Linked DNA regions of Lonchura striata. The protein of the gene in region 2 purifies or fractionates together with the protein of the main gene of each other region. This does not show direct contact. Links are inferred from orthologs where the notes say so. Each region holds a gene or a part of one and is shown on either strand. Other genes may lie near its edges.

The links. The genes of interacting proteins can lie anywhere in the genome.
Region 1: the proteins of RAPGEF2 (region 2) and MAGI1 purify together in Homo sapiens (co-immunoprecipitation; 3 studies listed by BioGRID and IntAct, with this or other methods). This does not show direct contact. The link is inferred for Lonchura striata from reciprocal best matches to the Homo sapiens genes RAPGEF2 and MAGI1.

Annotation. Positions count from the first base shown.
Region 1 is NC_134614.1:18,542,146-18,552,577, forward strand, and holds the start of MAGI1 (membrane-associated guanylate kinase, WW and PDZ domain-containing protein 1), read right to left. Parts: upstream 4,116-10,432; coding exon 3,830-4,115; intron 1-3,829. UniProt on the Homo sapiens protein: Plays a role in coupling actin fibers to cell junctions in endothelial cells, via its interaction with AMOTL2 and CDH5. May regulate acid-induced ASIC3 currents by modulating its expression at the cell surface.
Region 2 is NC_134606.1:40,591,744-40,601,430, forward strand, and holds the start of RAPGEF2 (rap guanine nucleotide exchange factor 2), read right to left. Parts: upstream 4,542-9,687; 5' UTR 4,470-4,541; coding exon 4,401-4,469; intron 1-4,400. UniProt on the Homo sapiens protein: Functions as a guanine nucleotide exchange factor (GEF), which activates Rap and Ras family of small GTPases by exchanging bound GDP for free GTP in a cAMP-dependent manner.

The sequences.
Region 1 (10,432 bases), on a different chromosome or scaffold from region 2:
TGGTTTTGTCCACACTAATATATGTAACTGAGTTTAACATCTCATGTACAGCAGATGCCAGCCTGACATTGAAGCATTGAGTCACTGCACTGTATTGCAGAATTTATCTTAGGGTCAAGTTAATGTTTGAAAAGAAACAAATGCAGCTGATAGCACTGGGTAAACAGTGACTGTTTCTGCTTGGGATCACGCCTGCTCCTGTCTGCCTTGTACAGGGCAAAAAAAAACCCACAAGCACACTCGATCCCTCCCTACCGTGGGACCATCCCAGCTGCAAAGTCCTATCAAAATTATTAATTGCATAAACTGCTCTCTGCACCTCCTGGCTTCAAAGCAATAGGTCATTAGGAGCTTGAGATTCTGAGACTTTTTTAGGGAAGCAAAGCATTGAAATGAGAACTGAAAAACCAATTTAATTTACAAGCATATTAACTCTGACAGTTTCCCATACCAAGCATCTGGCTTGGTGTGGTTTGGCACAAGTCATCGAAACAAGGAGCCTTAAAAAAGACTGGAAATCTCTCTGAATGTGCCCATCTCTCACCGAGGGAGAATGAAAATCCAGATCCCCTGCCTCAAATAAAACATGGTCCTTTTTTTACAAGTACAGTCTTAATTCTTCCCTTTTGGAGGATGGCACAACAAACTTCTATTGTGCTGGACTCTGTTAATCAAGATCCATGAGAAGAAATGGTGTGCCTGATTTTACAACTGATCTATCCAATGCAATCAATTATCAGTTTATCAAAGTGAGATATTTTGACAAATGTGAAATGTATTCAAGGAAGCTACAAATTCACAGTACAGCTGGGAAATCACTACATTAAGGCAATGCCAGCTTTACACTAGAATATGTGACCACTGCTCCTATAATTCAATCTATTAATTCCATACTCTCTGACCAAGTAATAATAAAAATGCATTTATTAACTCCACAGAAGTTAATCACCAATTTCATCAGAACTTAGACACATATGTAAGATGGAAACAGTCAGTCATAAAAGCACTACATGTTAACTGAAGTTTTTTCACACATTTGACAGTTCTGAAAGTTACTAAGATACATGGCAGCAAGATTCAAGATTCTTCCTCTCTCTGCCCCAAAACAGGCAACTATAATGGCACAGCTTTATTCTCAAATGTCAAAGCAAAAAAGGGAGCATAAGGGGAAAAGGAAGGGAAAGCTCCATTCAAGTTCTTTAACCTTCTTCACTCTTCCTCCCAGGGTAAGCAAAGGACCAAGAAATCCCATATGTCCAGTATTAAACACCAGTATTTCCATTAAGAGATTTCATAGAGGTTCCTCCTTTTTGCACTTATTTTTTAAACTTACCACTCACAAAAGCAAGAAGAAAATGTTGTACGTGAACCTGTAATTTTACATACTCTGGTTTAATGATAAAGTCCATGCACAGCCTATTCAACCTACATTTCCATCCTAGTCTCTTTCACCAACAGCAAGGTCAGAACCGTTATTTTCCTGCTCATGCTTGCAAAGGAGTGACTTATAGTAAATTTCCTGTTTTTCCAGCCTTGTAAATGTCATACAAAACAGACAGGCAATAAAATGTATACATTTCCAGGCTAATATTGCCCCAGCACTTCAGCACCAATCAGTTAGAAACTACAAACTCGGAGGAGGAAAATCATAGTTAAAAACTTGTTTACAATCTTATCTGCACACTCCTTGGCTGTCTGCTCTAGTGCCACACTTTTCCTGTTGATTGACAGTTGCCATTGCCATAATCAGATTTTTAATCAACACAGAAGTAATGAATTTTAATTAAAATACTCTCCTTTTCTATGCTTATAATTCTGATACATGAGGGAGATCCCTGCTTTGCACAGAGCAGCGTGCAGATGCCAGGCTACCATTGACAGGTTTTCCAGACCACAAAAATGTTTAGAGATTTAAAAACCAAATATTTATTTATATTCCACATTCTTGGCTAATAAACTATTTCTTAAAAATATGGAGAAAGAAAAAAAAAAAAAAAAGAAACTACAATCCCACAGTAACCAAGGGCTTGGTTCTCAGCTCTAGATGGGAATAGTCCAAGGTTTAAGTGCCTGCCCTGACTTACAACCCTTTTGAACCCTTTTCTCCCACTTTCCAGGTAAACCCAACCAACACACTAAAACTCAGCTCTCTGCCCGTTCTTTTGACCATATCCTGGAGCAGAGACACATTTACCACCAAGTTCTGCCATGTGCAGTTTATTCCCAGGACATGTTTTATTTATACTAACTCATGTTTCCAAAACAGCAAAAAGTTTGATCACAAATTGTTTGGTTGGGAAGGGTTTTACACACACCTTCCTTCCACAAACACAGATCACATTGCAACACCACAAGCTGTACTTTAATACTTCTGCTAAAACAATCAGTATGTAAAAAAACCTCTGCCTAATTTCCTCATACTTTTCTTCATGCTTTTCTCCCCCTCCTGCTTGGGCAGGGAAACCAGCAGGCTGAGTTTCCCTCACCACTTCCCAGTGGAGTGAAGGCAGCAGGGAAAACAGGCATTTTTTTAAGAAAAACTGGGTATTTTGGAAGTTTGACAGCGTTTGCTGGAATGTTGCTGCTGAGTCCTGCAAGGGACTAACAAATCGCTGTGCTTTGGTGGCTCAGCTCCGGGCAGGTGGTGGAGGGCAGTGCTCAGCCTCAGCTCCTCTCCGACTCCATCGCTGTCATCTGCTCGCTCCGGAGGTTCCAGGGATGAAACAAGTGCCTGCAGCCCTTCATCTCAGCTCACCCGTGAGCCCAGGGACAAGACTTCAGGTGACAGTCCTGCCAGCTGGCCAGAAATTCTGTCTGCAGCTACCAGCTGGGTTGAACGAAGTACAGGGAAAAAAACCCCTCGCACCACAAGCCAGAGCGAAACCCCCACCTTTAGGATGCACACGTCTGGATGACAAACTTTCCCCTAAGGAATCTCTCGGGCAACACGAAGAAAACTTCCCTTCCTTCCTGCACTTGGAGCTGACCTCGGGGAGCTCCTGCAGCTCTCACAGCTCCGGCTGTCCAGCTGCAGTCCTGCTCCTCCTGGTCCAACCAGCCTCGGTGGCTGCCGCAGCACCAACAGCTTTTTGGCACTACATTGAAGTCCTGTCCTGGAAATCACAAACCCATTAGCCAGGCCTGTTAGCTAACCTGTTGAGCGACTGTGGAGTGTACACGGATGTGGAGTGGCATCTTTTAAATCCAGCATGGGAGCACTCTTCCTATCCTCTTCCTCAGCCAAACAGGAGAGCTACCTATCTGTTCCTTCCCCTGTGCGCTGCAGGGCTGGCAGCACGGATGTGCCCTCACCTAGGGTAAACCAGGGGGAAGAAAGGTAAATCCGAGTAGCCTTTCAGCCAGAGAGGGAAGATGCAGGAGGGTCCAAGCTTTTTCTTCCCACGCTGGCAGCCGGCAAACACACGCTGCACTTTCGGAACAAGCTCAGCAGCTCCAAAGGATGCTCAGCTGCTGGAGGAGGGGATCCCTCCCCATTCCCCCAGCAGTGAAGCTCCCTCAGCCTCTCCAAGGGTCAGCCGGACACCGAGCTCCCCCGGACAAGCGCGGGGTTCCCGCAGGGAGCGCCGGCAGCTCCGCGGCGCCTTTGGGAAAGTCTCACGCAATTGCTCGCTGCGCTTAGCGCAGGGCAGGGACTGCGGGGCGGCTGCAGCCGGCTCCGGACGAGGAGGTGCCTGTGCATCAGTGCCCTCGCAGAAGCTGCGCACACGCGTGGGTGCACCGGCACCCGCGGCTCCGTCCGCCCCGAGGGGCTGATGCTCGCCACCCCCGGCCACCCAGCGCCGCGGGTCCCCCCTCGTCCCCCTCGCACCTTGTCGGACGGCTTTCACCACGACGGGGTCCTTGCAGCTCCGGATCACTTCCAGCACGTCGTAGCGCGGCAGCCCCGACACGCGGACCCCCTGCACCTCCAGCAGCAGCTCGCCCTCGCTCAGCGCCGCCTCGCCGTCCCCCGCCGCCGCGCCCGCGTACGGGAACTCGCCGTGCTCCGCGCCGCCGAGCAGGGCGAAGCCCAGCTGCCCGCCGGGCCCGCGGGTCAGCGCGCACTGCCGCACCCGGCTGGACCAGTGGTTCTTCTTCTGCACGACCCGCGACATGGCGCTGCGCGTCCCTCCGCGCCCGCGGAGCGCGCTCGGCAGGTGCGCAGGGGGCGCGGACCCGCCGCCCGCTCAGGCCATCACCGCCCGCACGGCTCCGCGCCCGCGGAGGGCGCGCACCGCCCCCCGCCCGCCCCTCCGCGCCGTCCCTTCTCCCCTCTTATTAAGAAAAAAAAAAAATTAAAATTAAAAATTATTCAAAAGCGCCGAAAAAGCAAATCCGGCAGCCGCGCGGTGTTGCCGCCCCCTCTCCGCGGGCGCTGCGCGGGGCGCGGAGCCTTTGGGGCGATACAAAGCGGCGTTTGTTTTGTTCCAGTTCGGTCCGTCCCGCTCCGCCGCGCTCCGCGCCGCCGGCGCAGGCGCCCTGGCACGGCCCGCCCCGGCACGGCCCGGCCCCCGCCCGCTCCCCGCCCCCGGCACGGCCCGGCCGGCGGCCCCGGCTCCGCCCGCTCCCGCGCACAACTTCCCCGCGGGGGGAAGCGGCCGCCGGGCCCCTCGGGCCGCGCCGAGGGGGAGCCCCCCGCCTGGAATCCTCGTTCTCCGAGCCGGGCCGGAGCGCGGGTGCTCTGCCCCGCGCCCCCGGGGATGCTCATATTGCAGGGGACGGCAGATCTTTGCTTTCCCGAGAGGATTTCTAGGATTTTCCCAGTTGCAAACCACTTCTTACCTGCGCTTTCCAGGTGGTTGTTACAGGAGAGGACGCAAATACAAATCCCGAGGAGAAACTTGCACAAGCCCATCATTAAAATGGTATCAAAGTGCTTGCGCGAGGCTGAGTGAGTCTCTCCTACTCTTAGTTCTGCACTCCGGTTTTTGATTGAGTGCTCGAATTTGAGACATTAATAATGTTTTCACATTGTCCTGTCCTCGTTGTTTAGAAGCTGGGACAGACTAATAGCGAGGTCTGGCTGCTGGAGAAAGGGATGGGCATCCATTTGTTTGTCCTTCGCCAAAACTCTTCAAAGTTACCCAGAACTGGTGCAAAACTCAAAACGGGAAAGTAAGAGTGCACGTACCAGCTGTCCCTTCCAGGTCATGCTCCATGCTTCCAAACCTGAAAGCCAGGCCTCATTTCCAGCAGTCTTATGCATGACCGAACCCCTTCCAGCGCGGAATTCACTTGTCAGACGTGTGCGTGCCCTATTTTGCCGCTAATCGGGACTGAGGAGTGACACAGGGAAACAAAGAGTCTGGTCTGGCTGCCTGTGCTGCACTGATGTGTGCTCAGACAGCACAGCCCGCAGACTTTCACTGCTGCCCGCCTCGCTCTTTCATCGCTCATCCCCCCAGCCGAGCGTGTCCCGCGGAGATCCGGGATGCGGGAGGGGCGGCAGGCTCGGGGAGCATCGCTGCGTGGGGAAACAGCTCAGCCTAACATCGTCTGATGCTGGCCCAGCTGATCAGCCGGCTCAGCGCACAGAGCTCAGAGGTGACCGGGATTCTTTCCCTGCCCTCGCACCTGTCCCGGATGGAGCTGGGACGCCTGTGCTTCCCTCACCTCCTGCATTCCATGCTCCTTTCCCCAGCTGCAATCCCTCATCTGGCTGTCCTGTAGAACTCCATCGCTGCGGACGCTGCTCTGCCGCCGCGGGAGCGCAGTCCCCGGCCCGAGTGGCGCAGCCACATCCCGGCACGGGAATGGAAGGCTCGGCCAGTGTCACACAGCACAGCAGTGACCCCGCTCCATCCCCTGTGCCTCAGGCACCTCTGCCCACGGGAAGCAGATGGGATTACAGAGCTCAGGAAAGTCCTTCCAACCGAGAGGCAGAGCCTGCCTTCCCGGGTAGAAGTGGACTCGTGAAGTTCAGTGTACCTGCTGTGTCTAGCCCTCACTTGCTTCCAAGAGGTTTCTTTCCATTTGGAACTTTCATATATGTTTTCATCCTTAAAGCTGTGCTGATCCCTTATGTTTGAGCAGCAGTAACTGCCTCACATCTGCTTTTGCTGGCTCAGTAACCAGCTGCCCCATTTGTCACTTTTAGGATGACAGCACGCTTTTTACTGTGCCTTCACCAGTAAAGAGTGGATAGGTCATCAGGCTGGATCCCCTGGGCAAGAAATGCTCCAGAGGTCTGTAGACCCTACAGAACAGCAGCATAGCTTGTGGGGAAGGCTTTCTCTTTCATCTGTGCACTGGGTGATAGTTGTGTCACACACGTGAGCTCATGGTGCAGGGAGCCCCTTGTTCACAGCCCAGAGCTGGGTGTGACGTATTTTCATCATCATTTTGCAGGATGTCTTATGTGACAGCCCTGCTAAGCTAAAAATCATCTGGGTTCCATGTGAACATCACATGAGCTGTGGTTGCCCTGAATAGATCTTACGGAACTACTCATGCCTCATGGAAAAATTTTTGGAAAAGACTGTTTGGAAAAACAAGTTTTGATAGTAAAATTTATGAGATGACAGACTTCCAAGGGCCCTTTTCAGTTTGCTTACAAACACTGCAACTGTAATGAAAGTGAGCTGTCCCCATTGTAATCCTAACACTGTACCCATGTCTGGGCCACTGTGTTCCCAAAATTGTTCTTGCTGACAATTAACAAAACCGGCAACTCTCAGCCAGAACTTCATCTTGATTTTCAGATTTTCACTTCAATTTTTATCCTGGACCACTTTTCTACCATTTTATCACCTTGTTGCATCCAGGTGGTCAATCTGGAAGCTGGCACTGCTTATATCAGCTCAAATACAGCCAAGGTTTTTTGTTGTCCTGATTGCTGTGTGACTGTACTGCACCTTACTGCTGCAAGGAGATTATTTCAGGGCACAGCTGCTCCAACCACCTCTATTAAAGGAAGCTCTTGGTCAGCCTTTAACAGAACTGAGCCTGGCTGCTCCTGCCCAGAAGGGTCCCTGACACCAGCTGATGGATAATTGGGTGATTACTGCATACAAACCTGGCACTGCCTCTCATTGCAGAGCTTGGCCTCTCTCCCAGGGACAGTGGTCCTGCTTTGCAGGGGATGGATTTAATGATTAACAGACTGTCTTCATCTCTGACAACTGCAGTTCTCATAATGACACTCTCCTTTTTGTGAGGGTCTCTAAGCACTTCACAAAGAGTAATTAAGGAATCTTCAGACACACCCACCTGGGGAACAGCTGAACATGAACATGGGGCAGGGAGAAGCTCAGGGCACACTCCTCATCTGAGAATGGCTCACTGCAGCCATCCTACTTCACCTGCAGCAGCTGGTCCAGCCTCATCTCATGCAGGTCTGCATGCTCTTCACCAGCCCACAGCCCAGGACAGCGCTGTGAAAACTGACTTGGGTGGGCTCAGGCCTTTAACCAGAGCCTGATTCCCTTACTCTTTTTTCTACAGCCACTCCAACCCATGCATTGGCAGCTGCTAATTTGTCAGGATGAGAAGGCTGCTGCTTTCTTCCTCCTTCAGCAGGTGCTCTGCATGCTTTGGGCCCTGCTACAAACATACAACAGCTCAAATGGTTCTTTCAAATAGGATACTGACCCATGGTCTTGGTCTCAAACGTCTCTGAAATTTCGTGCTGTGTCCTGGATTCTAAAATGGGTCAAAGCTCTCCCATGCATCAACTCATTCTCTCAGCTTTCCTACTGAAACTTGAGGAAACCACAGTTTGACTTTTTTTGGAATGGAAAACCATGTCTAGTCACTGAGAATGTTGTGGGTTTATGGCAGTTCACAGCCATGTACTCCCACCAGAGAGCATAAAGATGACAATGATTAAGAGTACAAATGAAAGTACAGCTTATTTAATACAGCAGAATTACTGTTAATTTCCAGATAAACCCCAAACCTTTGATATCATGGGCCTCAAGGCTTTGAAGACCTCAGCATATAAATCCTGGAAAAAAAAAAAAAAAAAAAAAAAAAGAGAAAGTTTTTAAACAAGATCCAGTCTCTCAAACATTGATTGAAGTTTCCTGTGGGCACACTCACACTACCAGAATATGTTAGTAGAAAAGCCATGTATTGTGGTTATTTCCCAAACAAGAATTTTTTTATATTAATCCCACTTAACTTTTACTGGAGGAGAATTTTCTTCGCAGCATCCAGGCTTTCTCAACAGGCTGGTGCTGCTCTCTGGTAGCAAGGAGGAGATGGGCTGGTGCTGCTTTGAGTCCTGGCCCTGGCAAACATTTCAGCAGATAACCCAGCTCCAGGTACTGAACAAACCCTGTATTTACAGCAAACCTTCCAAGTGTCAGGACATGAGAAGCTCTGGTGAAAGCTACTGACCAGCCAGCACAGACAGGTCCTGCTCAGGGACAGAGCTGGGCCAGCAAAGTCCATCCCAAAATGCAGCCCCTGTGTAGGGCATTTCCAGCCTCTTGCAGCAGGGTGGCTGGAGCTCCATCCAGGGCTGCTGGCTCAAAGTGAATGTGACCACAGGATGCTGGGAAGAAAAAGGAAATTCACCCCTTAGTGGGACTTCATGTCACCTTCCTCTACAATTTATTTCAATAATATCACATAGTGGAATATAAAGCTGAAGATCAATCTCATAACCATATTAAGACACTCTGGGGTATATTTTATAGGACCATTAATATACTTCTTGGGTGGTTAATGTCACCCACAGAATAAATTAATGGCTCCATAAAACATGCTCTGTCATATCCTATGGCTTAAATAACACAGAATAGGCTGGGTATGTTGGGATGTGGTTGAACTTATTGGGTGGAAGCAAAGGGTCAGAGTGACCACCTGGGAGTGAGGATACCAGACTCAGGGGGCCCAGTCATTTTACAAAAGCAAGATTCTAGAAAATCAATCACAAATTGTAGATTTCATTAACTTTAATTAGCACTAGCACTCCCAGGTTTATTTGTTTCATTCAGGCACATCTTCCCTGCAGAAGCTGTTCTGTTCCAGGGTAGGATTGTTGTGTGTGGAGCTTTTTGGCATAGAGGGAGCCAGGCATGAAAAGATCTGAAGAAGTCAGGCACAGAGCAGGCAAAGCCTCTTGGTTAGAGAAGGGATCAGATTGGCTTTTCAGGGGAAGCTAAGCCTGCCATATGTTTCAACTTTCTGAAAGAAACTTGAAGGAAATGTCAATACAGTGTTCATTTGGGACAGATTTTATTGGAGTGGTTGTCTCTGATACCCACAGGAATATTTCCAAAAAGAAAAGAAAAAAAAAAAAATTTTCTTTCTAGTCTTTCCTGACCATGATCAAGCTACAGAAGAAGCAAATTCCTCCTCCTTGTCTGGTAGATATTGGGTCTTAAGTCACATTCTTCCCCAGGAATTTTTTTTTTTTTTTTTTTTTTTGCTATTTTAATGTTTCCACATTAAATAAGACTCTTCAGTAGACACTATCACCAAAGACTTCTCAGTAGACACTAGCTGTGTCCTGCTAAGATAAACTATCCCAATTCACCTGTCTCAGCTGATAAACCTCCACTTTTCCACTTCTGCTGCTTGAAAAAGAAAAAGGGCTCACCTCTGATTTGTAATGCAAGAGCTCAGTGCAACTGCCCAAGGCACCAACACTCACCCAAACTTGCTTCAGCTCAATAGTCTCATTCTGCCCCTTTCTTACTGCCCTTGTTCTCTCTGCAGATACAGAAGAGCCTCACTGCATCCTTAAACTCCACCCCTGCTCTGCTGAGGCTTATGGAGATGCTGTTCCCTGTCCTTCGCCTTTTGCCTCCCCTCTCCAGTCCTTACCTTTCTATTTTCTCTATGTATTTTGAACACAACCCTTGCTATTCATTCCCCCTAAAAATCCTGAAAACTAAAGCTGTATCAGGAAAGATTTCTGCTTTAAGTCTCTCCAGTGCCATAAACAGGCAAAGTCTGCACTTTTCAAATGTGCTGCATGCTGAATAAGTTCATAGTCCCTTGTGGTGGATGTGTATTAAAGTCTAATGGCTTAAAAGTGGGAAAAGATCAGGAAGAAAAAGCTGGGAATAACCCATCTCTAGCCGTAGCAAAGTCTGGTTCAAACAATTGAGTTGTCAATCTTGTGATTTGGTTTGAAAATAAAACTAGCCACAAAGGCTCAGCTTCCCGAAACTAACTGGCACATCAGTGCAGTATCTTGTCCACCAGCTCCACTTTGAAGGGGTTTGTTTTTCTCAAAAATAAAAAATCAATACACAGAATATCAACAGCAATTCTGTATAAACAGCAAAAATACCTTTTCCCTCATAAAAACACCGAGTTGAGGAAAGATTTCTGTAATAGAGAATTGATTTCATCCTCACAAAAAGTTTTTCCAAGTACCCTCAGCAAGATTAAAAGAAATAAAAAGGTAGCAGTAAGGCACAATGATGGGACAAGCTGAAAGTTTGGAAAAGAAATTCCTTTGGAGCAGTATTGATAT
Region 2 (9,687 bases):
TGACCCCACCTCAGAATTAGTCACTGCAGTAAGCAGAAAGCCTGACCACCACTATGGGAAGCAGAGTTAGGAATCCAATTTTGTTGGTCAAATGGACTCCCCAGAAAGAAACAGCAGTCCAGCCTTGCAAAGTAAGGCTGCCCCTGAATAACCACATAACAAAGCCCTGAGATACATTATGGAACGACCACTATATCAATGCAATACAGGCAAATACCAGGCATCAGCTGTCACAGTCCTTCACTTCTCAGGGCTACCAAGAACCAGCAGGAGAGTTTAGCAACAGAATCAGTTCTCAGCATTATACTGCTGTTAGCAGCCTGATTACAGGGGTTATCCTCCTCTGTAAATGCTCACCTCAAAAAGATGGCAACACAGTAGAATGCTGACAGTGAAGAAAATGTGAAAGCACAACTCAAGCTTCAACATATTTTCATTTTTCAAAGGAAAGAAATCCCAAATAAACTCTTTTGAAAAAGATCATTTTAGTCTTCTAATGTATTTGATATACAGACACACGATCAGGCCAAATTTAAAGACTAAATATTCTTTTGCTAGACTCACATATAAAACGCTTAGTATCGCTGATCCTATTAAAAAATAAATACAAGGCTGTGTAGTTTAAGAGATCACTGTAGCAAGAAGGAAATGTTCATTTCTGGCTTATCTGAAGATTGCACACAATCATGTTATCACTGGTTACAAGTATAAAAATAACACATCTGGGAAACAAGCCGAAAGTTTATTTGGAAAAAGCATAGGTACATCCTATAATTAAACCATTTTTCCTCTCAAGTGTTCAAGAAAGGAGTATCTGCTTTACAACAGCATCCTGTTTAGATGCCTTCTGCCATTAAATGACGCATAAGTATCAAACTAAGGGCTACTGTACAGTTCTCCCCTCCACCCTGAAGATCTGGTGCGATGCTGTCGCATCGCTGCTCTCCATTACTGCTGTGTTGAACTGCCCTGGTGTACCACACTGGCAGTTCCCAGAAGCAAACCTTGGGCATCTAACATGTATAAGGCACACACTCAAAAAATTTCTTCCTACAGACGTCACCACATGGCATGAAAACAGTGAACAGTATGCAGAGTTTCTGAAGCAACCAGCTATTCATATACCATGCCATGCAAATGAGTTGTTAGGATAAAGAAAGATTAGGGCTCAGTTTCTCTTGTTTGAAAACAAAAGCAGCCCTATTTTTTCAAGCCAAGCTACAACAATATAAAACTGCATGCTTTCTAAAATGGCCTATGATGCCAAAAAGAATTTTTATAAAGAATCAAAGCTATAACAGTCCATATGAGAGGATGTTAGGAGAGAAAAAAACTAGATCACTATTACTCACAGCTTAAGGGCATAAAACCATTTGTAATTTATGAACATTTAAAAGCTAGATTCCCCAAAGTAGTTAAATTAACTTCCTAGTTCATGTCTTCAAAGAGAAAATGAATAGTTTAATACATCAATTAAAGAGAAGAGTTACACAACAGGCATGTTAAAGTACAGGCCACGTATAAATCCTTTTCTTTTATTTCTCATTTTCTTTAGCCAACAGAATACCGAGTTGTGATTCACAAAAGTCAGGAACACTCTGTAAAGGAGGATATACCAAAGAGATATAAAGTTATAAATTTACAAAAGCAGTTGCAGAATAAACTGTTTACCTCAAGGAAAAAAAAAATCAGTTCAATCCAAAATTACCAGGAGATTTTTGCACTATAAATGTTCATGCCAAGTTAAGTTTGCTTTCCCCAACAATGTTTATCAGACCTACTTCTCTAAGTTGTACATACTGGCTATCATTCTGTCACTCCTGTCCTCTGAGCCTGCAGTGAAGGCATGGTGCCAAATTTGCACCCTGACAGTCCAGGGTGAATAGAAATGTCAAACAGATATTTACCTCATCATTATTTGGGAGAAGCTGAGCCCCAAAGAGTTTGCTAACATAAGAAAGAAGCAAATATGCTACTAACATACTTCCCTTGCTATTTCCTGCACTGACATGAATATGATAAATATATTTTCTCTTTCCAACCCTCTCTCAACTTTAAAAAACCCTCATGACTTTCCAAAAACCAAAATTAAGTAGCTCTCTTTTAGAGATAGCATAGCAAGGACAGGAAAAGACAAGTAAAGAGACAATAAGTTACTTGAAGGGAAGAAGGAAAAACAAGGTCTTTGTACATTTCTATATATTTTTTCCTTTTCATGTAATGATGAAAGATGAAGTGCATAAACATATTTCTTTCAAATTGCAATACAGTTGTAAAATAAAATCAAACTTACTTAACAGAGAACCATCAGTAGAAAATTAACACACATAATTCAACACGAGCCATTTACAAAAACACCAGGTTTTCTGCTGCAAGCCCAATCTCTCCAGCAGCAACAGGAGGGCACCACCAGTTTCAAGTATTTCCAGCGCTAACAATGCATTAGATTTCCCACATACTTGGTCTTATTTGTGGATTATTTTGGGTCAGTGTCAGTTTCATGGATTTAAGGGTGGGTTTCTTTTCCTGTGGTGATTGCCACAGCAGGCTGCCAGCGTGCTGACTGGGGAAGTTTTCCAGCACTAACGCAGCCCTGGTGTTCCCAATTTAGCTCTCTGCTCTGTGCCCTTCACTGGGCTTTATCCCTGCATTCAGGCTGGATTCTTCACTGCGTCATTTCTTACTCTCTACCTTTCTGTGTTTCCTTATTATCCCTTCTAGACAGCAAGGCCAACTGGCAAGGACATGAGAAAGTTTAACAGTTCACACCACAGGGAAAGCATCATCCCCCAAGCCCAGCCTGGTGGCCCCACAGCCTGACCTAGTGGTTTTTGAGCATCTGCCTGCATCTCTCCTCCTGAGCACCCCACCGTGCTTCCATAACCATGTCCTGAGGCTGGACACTGCTGCTAGGCTCCCCCCAGCTGGAATCTATGCCTCTACCAATTCAAGGGACCTCGCTGCGAGTTTGCAGAGAGTGTCTTCTCCAGGAGGGAGCACTCAGCCTCCTTCAGCTTTCACAACACGCTGAAGGGCTGGGTCCAGCACTCAAGGCAAACAGACATTTGGAAAAGGTCAAACAAGGACAGAGAAACAAGTTTAGCACCACAAAAACATGTTCCAGAAGCAGCTTCCTTTTCTTTTTTTTTTTAAAAAAAGAAGAAAAAAACAGAGTTGCCAAAAAGGCATGCCACATACGATGCCTATGCAGTCAGTATGTTTTTCCATGAGAAGTTTTATTTTCTCACACAGATTCCATGAGTACAGGGATAAAAATAACATTACCACAATGACGTATCTATAGTAGGAGGAATGACTTATGGGTGCTGAGCAGAAGTCAAGGTTTCCTCTTTGCCCCAATTTGAAATCATCACCAGCCAGTCAGACGCCTGCCAAAACAATCAGTAACAGCATCTCTTCCCCAAAACCCGAATACAGGGACTGCTCAGAGAGCAGGACAAGCCTTTAGAAAATAGGACAGATGGCATTACAACTCCAAGCAAAGTAACTCCTTGTATCATTAGCTATTGAACCGCAGCTTGATGTGGGGATCAGTGTAAAGCTTATTAGTCTTTAGACAGTTGGCAGCAACAGCCACTGCAGCAACCGTTCGGGAGCAGAAGGAACTCATTCAGTTTAGTTGTTTTTCAGGTCATGTTAAGTCAAAATGTTTCCGTACGCACTCCAGTCCCCAGCTTAACCTTTCTCAGCCTCTCTAAGCGCAACTACGCTTACAAACAGCTTCGACTCACACACTCCTCTGATAAAGGGGGCTCCAGGATCGCGGCGCAGGTATCTAAAAAATTCCTGCCTGGTGCCATTGTGTAAGGATTTCACCCTACTTTGGAGAGCAAGGACTTGCCAAGAATACCACTGACCTCAGCCCCTACATTATGAAACAGCACTGCCAGCTCCAGCCAGCTATGTAAAAGTAGGGATTGAATTCAAATCCTGAGCCACCCGTACTCCGGGGCAATAACAAAACACACACACTGACACACAGAGGGAAAAAAAAAAAAAAAGAGAGAGAGAGAGAGAGAGAGAAGAAAGGAAAAAAGGAAAACCACATCACCGAAAAATTGTACTCTAAGTTCATTTTCTTTTCACCGGAAGCAACCTTCAAAACAAACCCAGCTGGCGTTTCTCCCTCTCCTTCCCCCAAAATTAGGGAGTAGGAGGAAAGTTGTCGCGTTAATGCGCGCCTTCCCTTCCCGGGAGCTGCCGACCGGGAATTCGGCGCTGGGGAGTTCGGCGGGGGCTGGGAGCGGGGTCAGCCGTGGCCGCGCCGCCCGAAGCGGGGCCGTGGGGCTCCGACCGCCCCGGCCGGGGCTGCGCGGGGCGGGCGGGGGCAGCGGGGCGGCCCCTCCGCCCGCGGGAGCCGCGGGGCACGGCGCGCTTACCTGGGGGCTGCGCTCCGCCGGGTTCTTCATCACCGCCTGGCGGAAGCTGTTATCCACGTAGGACGCCATCGCGCCCCTGCCGCCTCCCGCCGCCGCCCGGGAGGCGCTGGGGGAGGGCGGCCGCGGCCTGGCGCTGCGCGGCCGGAGCGGGCGAGGAGCGGGGAGCGGCGGCGCGCAGGCACCGCGGGCTCAGCAGCGCCGCCGCCCGGAGCTGCCGGCGGCGGCCGAGCCCCGCCGGGGGCAGCGGCGGCGACCAGGGCTCGGCGCTCCCTCCCGAGCCGGCTCTACGCCTCCCGCCGGCCCGCTCCGCCGCATCCCCTCGGGCACCGTCCTCGTCGCCTCCTCCCTCCTCTTCCTCCTCCTCCCATCCGGGCTGATGGGGGACTCCGCGCCCGCCTCGGCGACGGGGAAGTTGCCGGCTCGGGGAGGCGGAGCGGCGGGGGGCGGGCCGAGGCGGGACGGAGGAGGAGGGGGGGGGCGGGTCGCCGGGGGTCGCCGCCGGCAGGGTCCCCTCCGGCTACGGTGCCTCAGCATCCTCCCCCTGGGAACACATCCTGGCCAGGTTTAACCACAAAAAAGAAGTCTGAGCGGCCGCCGCCATGGTCCCGAGGGACGCGCATCATCGCAGCTTCGGCGGTGCTCCCTGTGCACGGATACTGGTGATGGGCAACCTGGACGCCAAAAAAAAAAAAAAAAAATAAAGACTTGATAAAGACTTGGTCTGCCGAATCTAGTGACTTCGGGGAGGCCACCTGTTGTCACGCTTCTCAAAAGTAATCCGTATCAGCCGGCTGTCCCCTCTGTCATTGCTATGTGGGGCAAAAACGGGGAAGGGAGGGGTGTGAAATCGTTAATTTATCACTGTTCTGGGGGTTATCTAGCGGCGGATTCTTCTCACGTGAACTTAAGTTTTTAAAGAATAAAGGATCTCGCAACATGGCTGATTTTCTTTGTTTACCGCGACACCGAGCCCGTCTCAGCAGCAGCCTGACAAACGCCAACCATGGAAGTATTATTAGCGTGCCATTAGCGGCGGGGTAATACTATTAATGTATTTGCTTTCACAAGTGATGTGTACCCTTCGCTGATACGGATCACACAATGTAAATAATGTCAACACTAATAAATCTCTTTAATTCCCAGTCACTAGCAGTCACATTTCAATTCCAAGTAAGGTAGTGTCATCTTTATTTCATGTTTGTATTTGTGAAAATTCCCAGAGATAACCATCTTTTCCTTACCAAACATACACTGCTAGTCCCAGGAGAAAAAAATGTTACGCTTTTAGACACAAGTGGCTCTCAAAAATGCTGTGTCTTCAGACAGGAATCTACTAAACCTACTCAATTTCTAGATACGGCTCATTAACAAAGATAGCTCTTTGGGCTAATCCTACTCATATGTGTCAGCAAAATATTTTTGCAGTAATACCAATTATTCTGGGCAGATCATTGGAAAATACTAGGGAGTGCTCCACATTCTCTATATCTTGCTTATCGGTGCTTACTAGAAGTCCTTATGGGGGATTTTAATTTTTTTTTTTTTTTTTTTTAGTAACAGATTGAAAATGTCATGTCCTGTGCCCTAAAAAATAACAGTTTAAATATGCCTCGTGTTCATCATCCAGTGATGATAATAATTCCTTCAAATTAATCAAGCCTGCAGCTATAGAAAAGTGCCAGCTTTTCTGCAGCTCAGTTTACCAATCCGGAGTGCTGGAATGCCCTTTTTTTGGGGGGCATATGTATAGCAGGAGTGCCACAGGAATGTGAGGAATGCTCTCTTGGGCTTCACTCCTCAATCACTTCAGGGCACCCATTCCCTGCTGCTGCAGCCTAGCTTGCCTGACATCTTTATATCTCTACATCAAAACAGAGCTACCCACTCTATTTTAATATGCAATTATCTTTCATTTCAGACCTATTAGCTGTAACAGCATCAAGTCGAGTGTTTTGCTCTGGTTAATTTTTTGCTGTGCTGTCTGGTAACACAATACCTGTGATTCATAGGGATATTCCTCTTCAGAGAATGGGATTTCAGGGCTCTCATTGTATTCTGATCAGTGTCACAAATCTCGATGGTTATAGATCTGTGTCAAAGGCCTATAACACATTACGTGACTTGTTAGAAATGGGAATGAATGAAAGAAGAGAACTGTACATAGAGAACTATGTACAAATATACTCAACAACTTCTCAATAATATTTAAGGATGTGTTGTGTTAACACCTTTTCTTGTGTCTGTAAGCAACATATTTGTATAAAGCAAATACTTCTGATTATTCATATCCTCCATGGTGGATACTAGCATGTCCTTTATGCCATTTTTTTTTCTCTTGCTGAAATCAGTCTAGTTACTTCTGAATAGAAAAAAATAAACAATAAATCAGTAAATAATCATCAAGATTCAGAGTAAGGACAGTTATTACTTGAGAAAACATGCAATTATCTCCAGAAACCCCCATTTTTCACTGCAAGTATTCAACAAAACATAATTTACAGTGTCAAATGCTTTTGCAACTTACATTTTCTCTTAGTCTTACTGCCTTCCGGTTTTTCATCTTCAACAAAAAATCAGTATGATTTTAAATACACATATATACCAGGACATGCCATTCATTTTGCTTATTGGTTACTCTTCAGGATATATTATCTAGCTTTACCCTTATTTACAATGGATTGGGTTGGTTGGTGGTTTTTTTGTTTGTTTGTTTGTTTTGAGGGGGAGTGTTTTTCTGGTCATGGTAATACATTACACAGGTTTCCTACCCATCTTACACCAGGAAACCAAGAGTTAACTATACACATGCAGTTCATATAATGTTGCTATTTCAACAGTATGAAAACGCTGCAACACAAAATATGACAGCTCAGCATAATATCTTTTTTGGATAGCTAGAAGTAATAGCTATGTTATTTTATAGAAGTATTTTGCCTTAGAAAGACAGGGTATCTGCCCTCCTGAATATGTCCATTTCTTTCAAGTGGTAATTTGAAATGGTCAGGTCAAACAGTTACTAAAATGCTAAGAAAACAAATTCAGCAGTTCTGGGAACATTTTGTTCATTTGCTAAACCTCATTTTAAAGAAAATACACTTTGAAAAGCTTGCACTTAGCTTAGCCATATGACTTTCAATTCATTACACCTGTAGTTAGTCACCCACAGTTAGATGCTTGGCTTGCTTGGGATGCACCAGTCTGCCCTGGTAAGAAATAAAACACTGCCATTTTGAGGGAGTTTAGCATTATCAACAGTCTGTATGGTTATAAGCCCAGGGATGCTCCTTTCTCCCATTTCTTGGGTAAGTACTTGTTTCCATCTATCAACTGGAGATAGCACAGCAGGTGAAGCAGATTCATGCAGTCAAACTCCAGCCCTTAGAATTGCCCTACTCCTTCCCATATCTTTCTTCTTGGCAACCATAAAAAGATACTTCCATAACCATTCATGGAGGTAGACAGTTATTGGGGAACAGAGGTATTGGCCTGGTGAACCCCTCCAGAGTTGACCTTGAGAACAGTAGCCATCCCCTCTGGACTGGGCAGAAGCCAATTTTGTTGGATTTTAAGTAAAATATTAATTATTTTAGGTACAAGTAAGGCCACTACCAAGGAGAGAGTATCTTATCCTTTAAATAAGATTAGCCTCTATGCTCTCTCTTTAGGGTGGCATCATTTCCAAGAATGATTCCCACTTCTGGGATTTATACATGGCTGGGATTACTACCACTTGCAATTGCAGTTTTTAGTACCTTCTGCATTATGATGAAGGGCATATGAGTTTGCTTGTTTGTTTGTGTGGTTTTGTCTGTTCATTTTTTACATAACATGCTCTGTTATTGTGGATATTTGTTGTCCAGTAATCATTTATGTATGGGCGCAATATGGAACAACCACTCTGCACCTCTGATAGGTAGAAGGCTAATTCAGACCATAGTAAAATAATTCTTGAATGTTTACCACAGGTTTTATGATCCTTTTATACTCATAAGATGTATGAAATTCTGAAGATTACAAAAGAGAACCTGGCCTGTGCCATAAAGGAAAAATCATCCTTTGTTTTGTTTTTTTTATTGAAGGAAAAACAGAAGAACTTTTGACTACTATAATGCATTTCATGCATTTATTCAGAATTTGCCACTATTTGCATAGCTACATTTGGGCGTATTTATCATTAAACTTCTGCTGTAGCTGCAGATGTATGCAAACCAGCTCTAGCTAGTTAGATTAATACTAGAGAAACAGCATGTGCCGTCCAAGTATTTATATGATCTTGGAGAGGAATTCACAGTCCACACAGTGTTCCCTTCAGCTGTACTGATAAAGGTGCCCAAACAAAAGGAAAGGTGGCTGTACTGCAGCAGCACCCAGGAGGCACAGCAGAACTGTGCTACACACTGTGTGAGCACTGAACAAATCTGCAGCAGCTCTTGAAGGTCAGGTGTGTGTTTCTGAAGGTCTGGAACATCTACACAAACTTGCTCTGTGCTTGTGACCACGGTACAGGTCTGCCCCTCATCCCTCAGGAGTAAAAGTGAAGATGGGAGGTCTTCTCTCCTGGTACCCTGCTGGGAAGGTGTGCTCCAGACCTCAGGTCAACATCTGCCCCACCTTCCCCGTCTGTGAAAAGAGACACAAAAGTAGCAACTTTTAAACTTCTTAGGTATTCTGAGATACAAAGAAGCACAGTAAAGTGCTATTTCTAGTAACAGTAGCAGCAGCATTTTGAGGGGTTTTTTTAAACATAAAACTAACCACAGAGAGAAACAGTGAAATTGCATCTTTTGCACATCAGGATGTGTGGTGAATGAGGTTGGATTGGTGGGATGGTACAAAGCACACAGCAATAAGTCAGTGCTTCAGTCCTGGTGTGCTCTGGGACAGGCTGCCAGCATGGAGAGGTGCTCTGTGTGGGTCTCAAATTGCACCTGCTACACAGTGGCAAAAGTATCAGAGAGACTAAAGTGTCATTTTAGATAGATAACACTTTCTGAATAATGTATAGGTTAAAAAGGCACTCCACTCCTTTACAAATAGTCATCCATGAACTAATATAGGCAGGATATACATAGGAACAATTTCAACTGCTGAATGTATCTCATAACAGTTTCATGATCTACAAATTTGGTGTCACATATATTTCTAATAATATATTTCAGTAAATGACATCCCAAATAAGGAAAAAAATATTTCATTCTTACTCATTGCCTTTGAAATTTAAATGACTGAACAAATTAAAGCCCAAGCTTACATTTCACTGTTTTACCAATAAACCAATCTTTCCTAA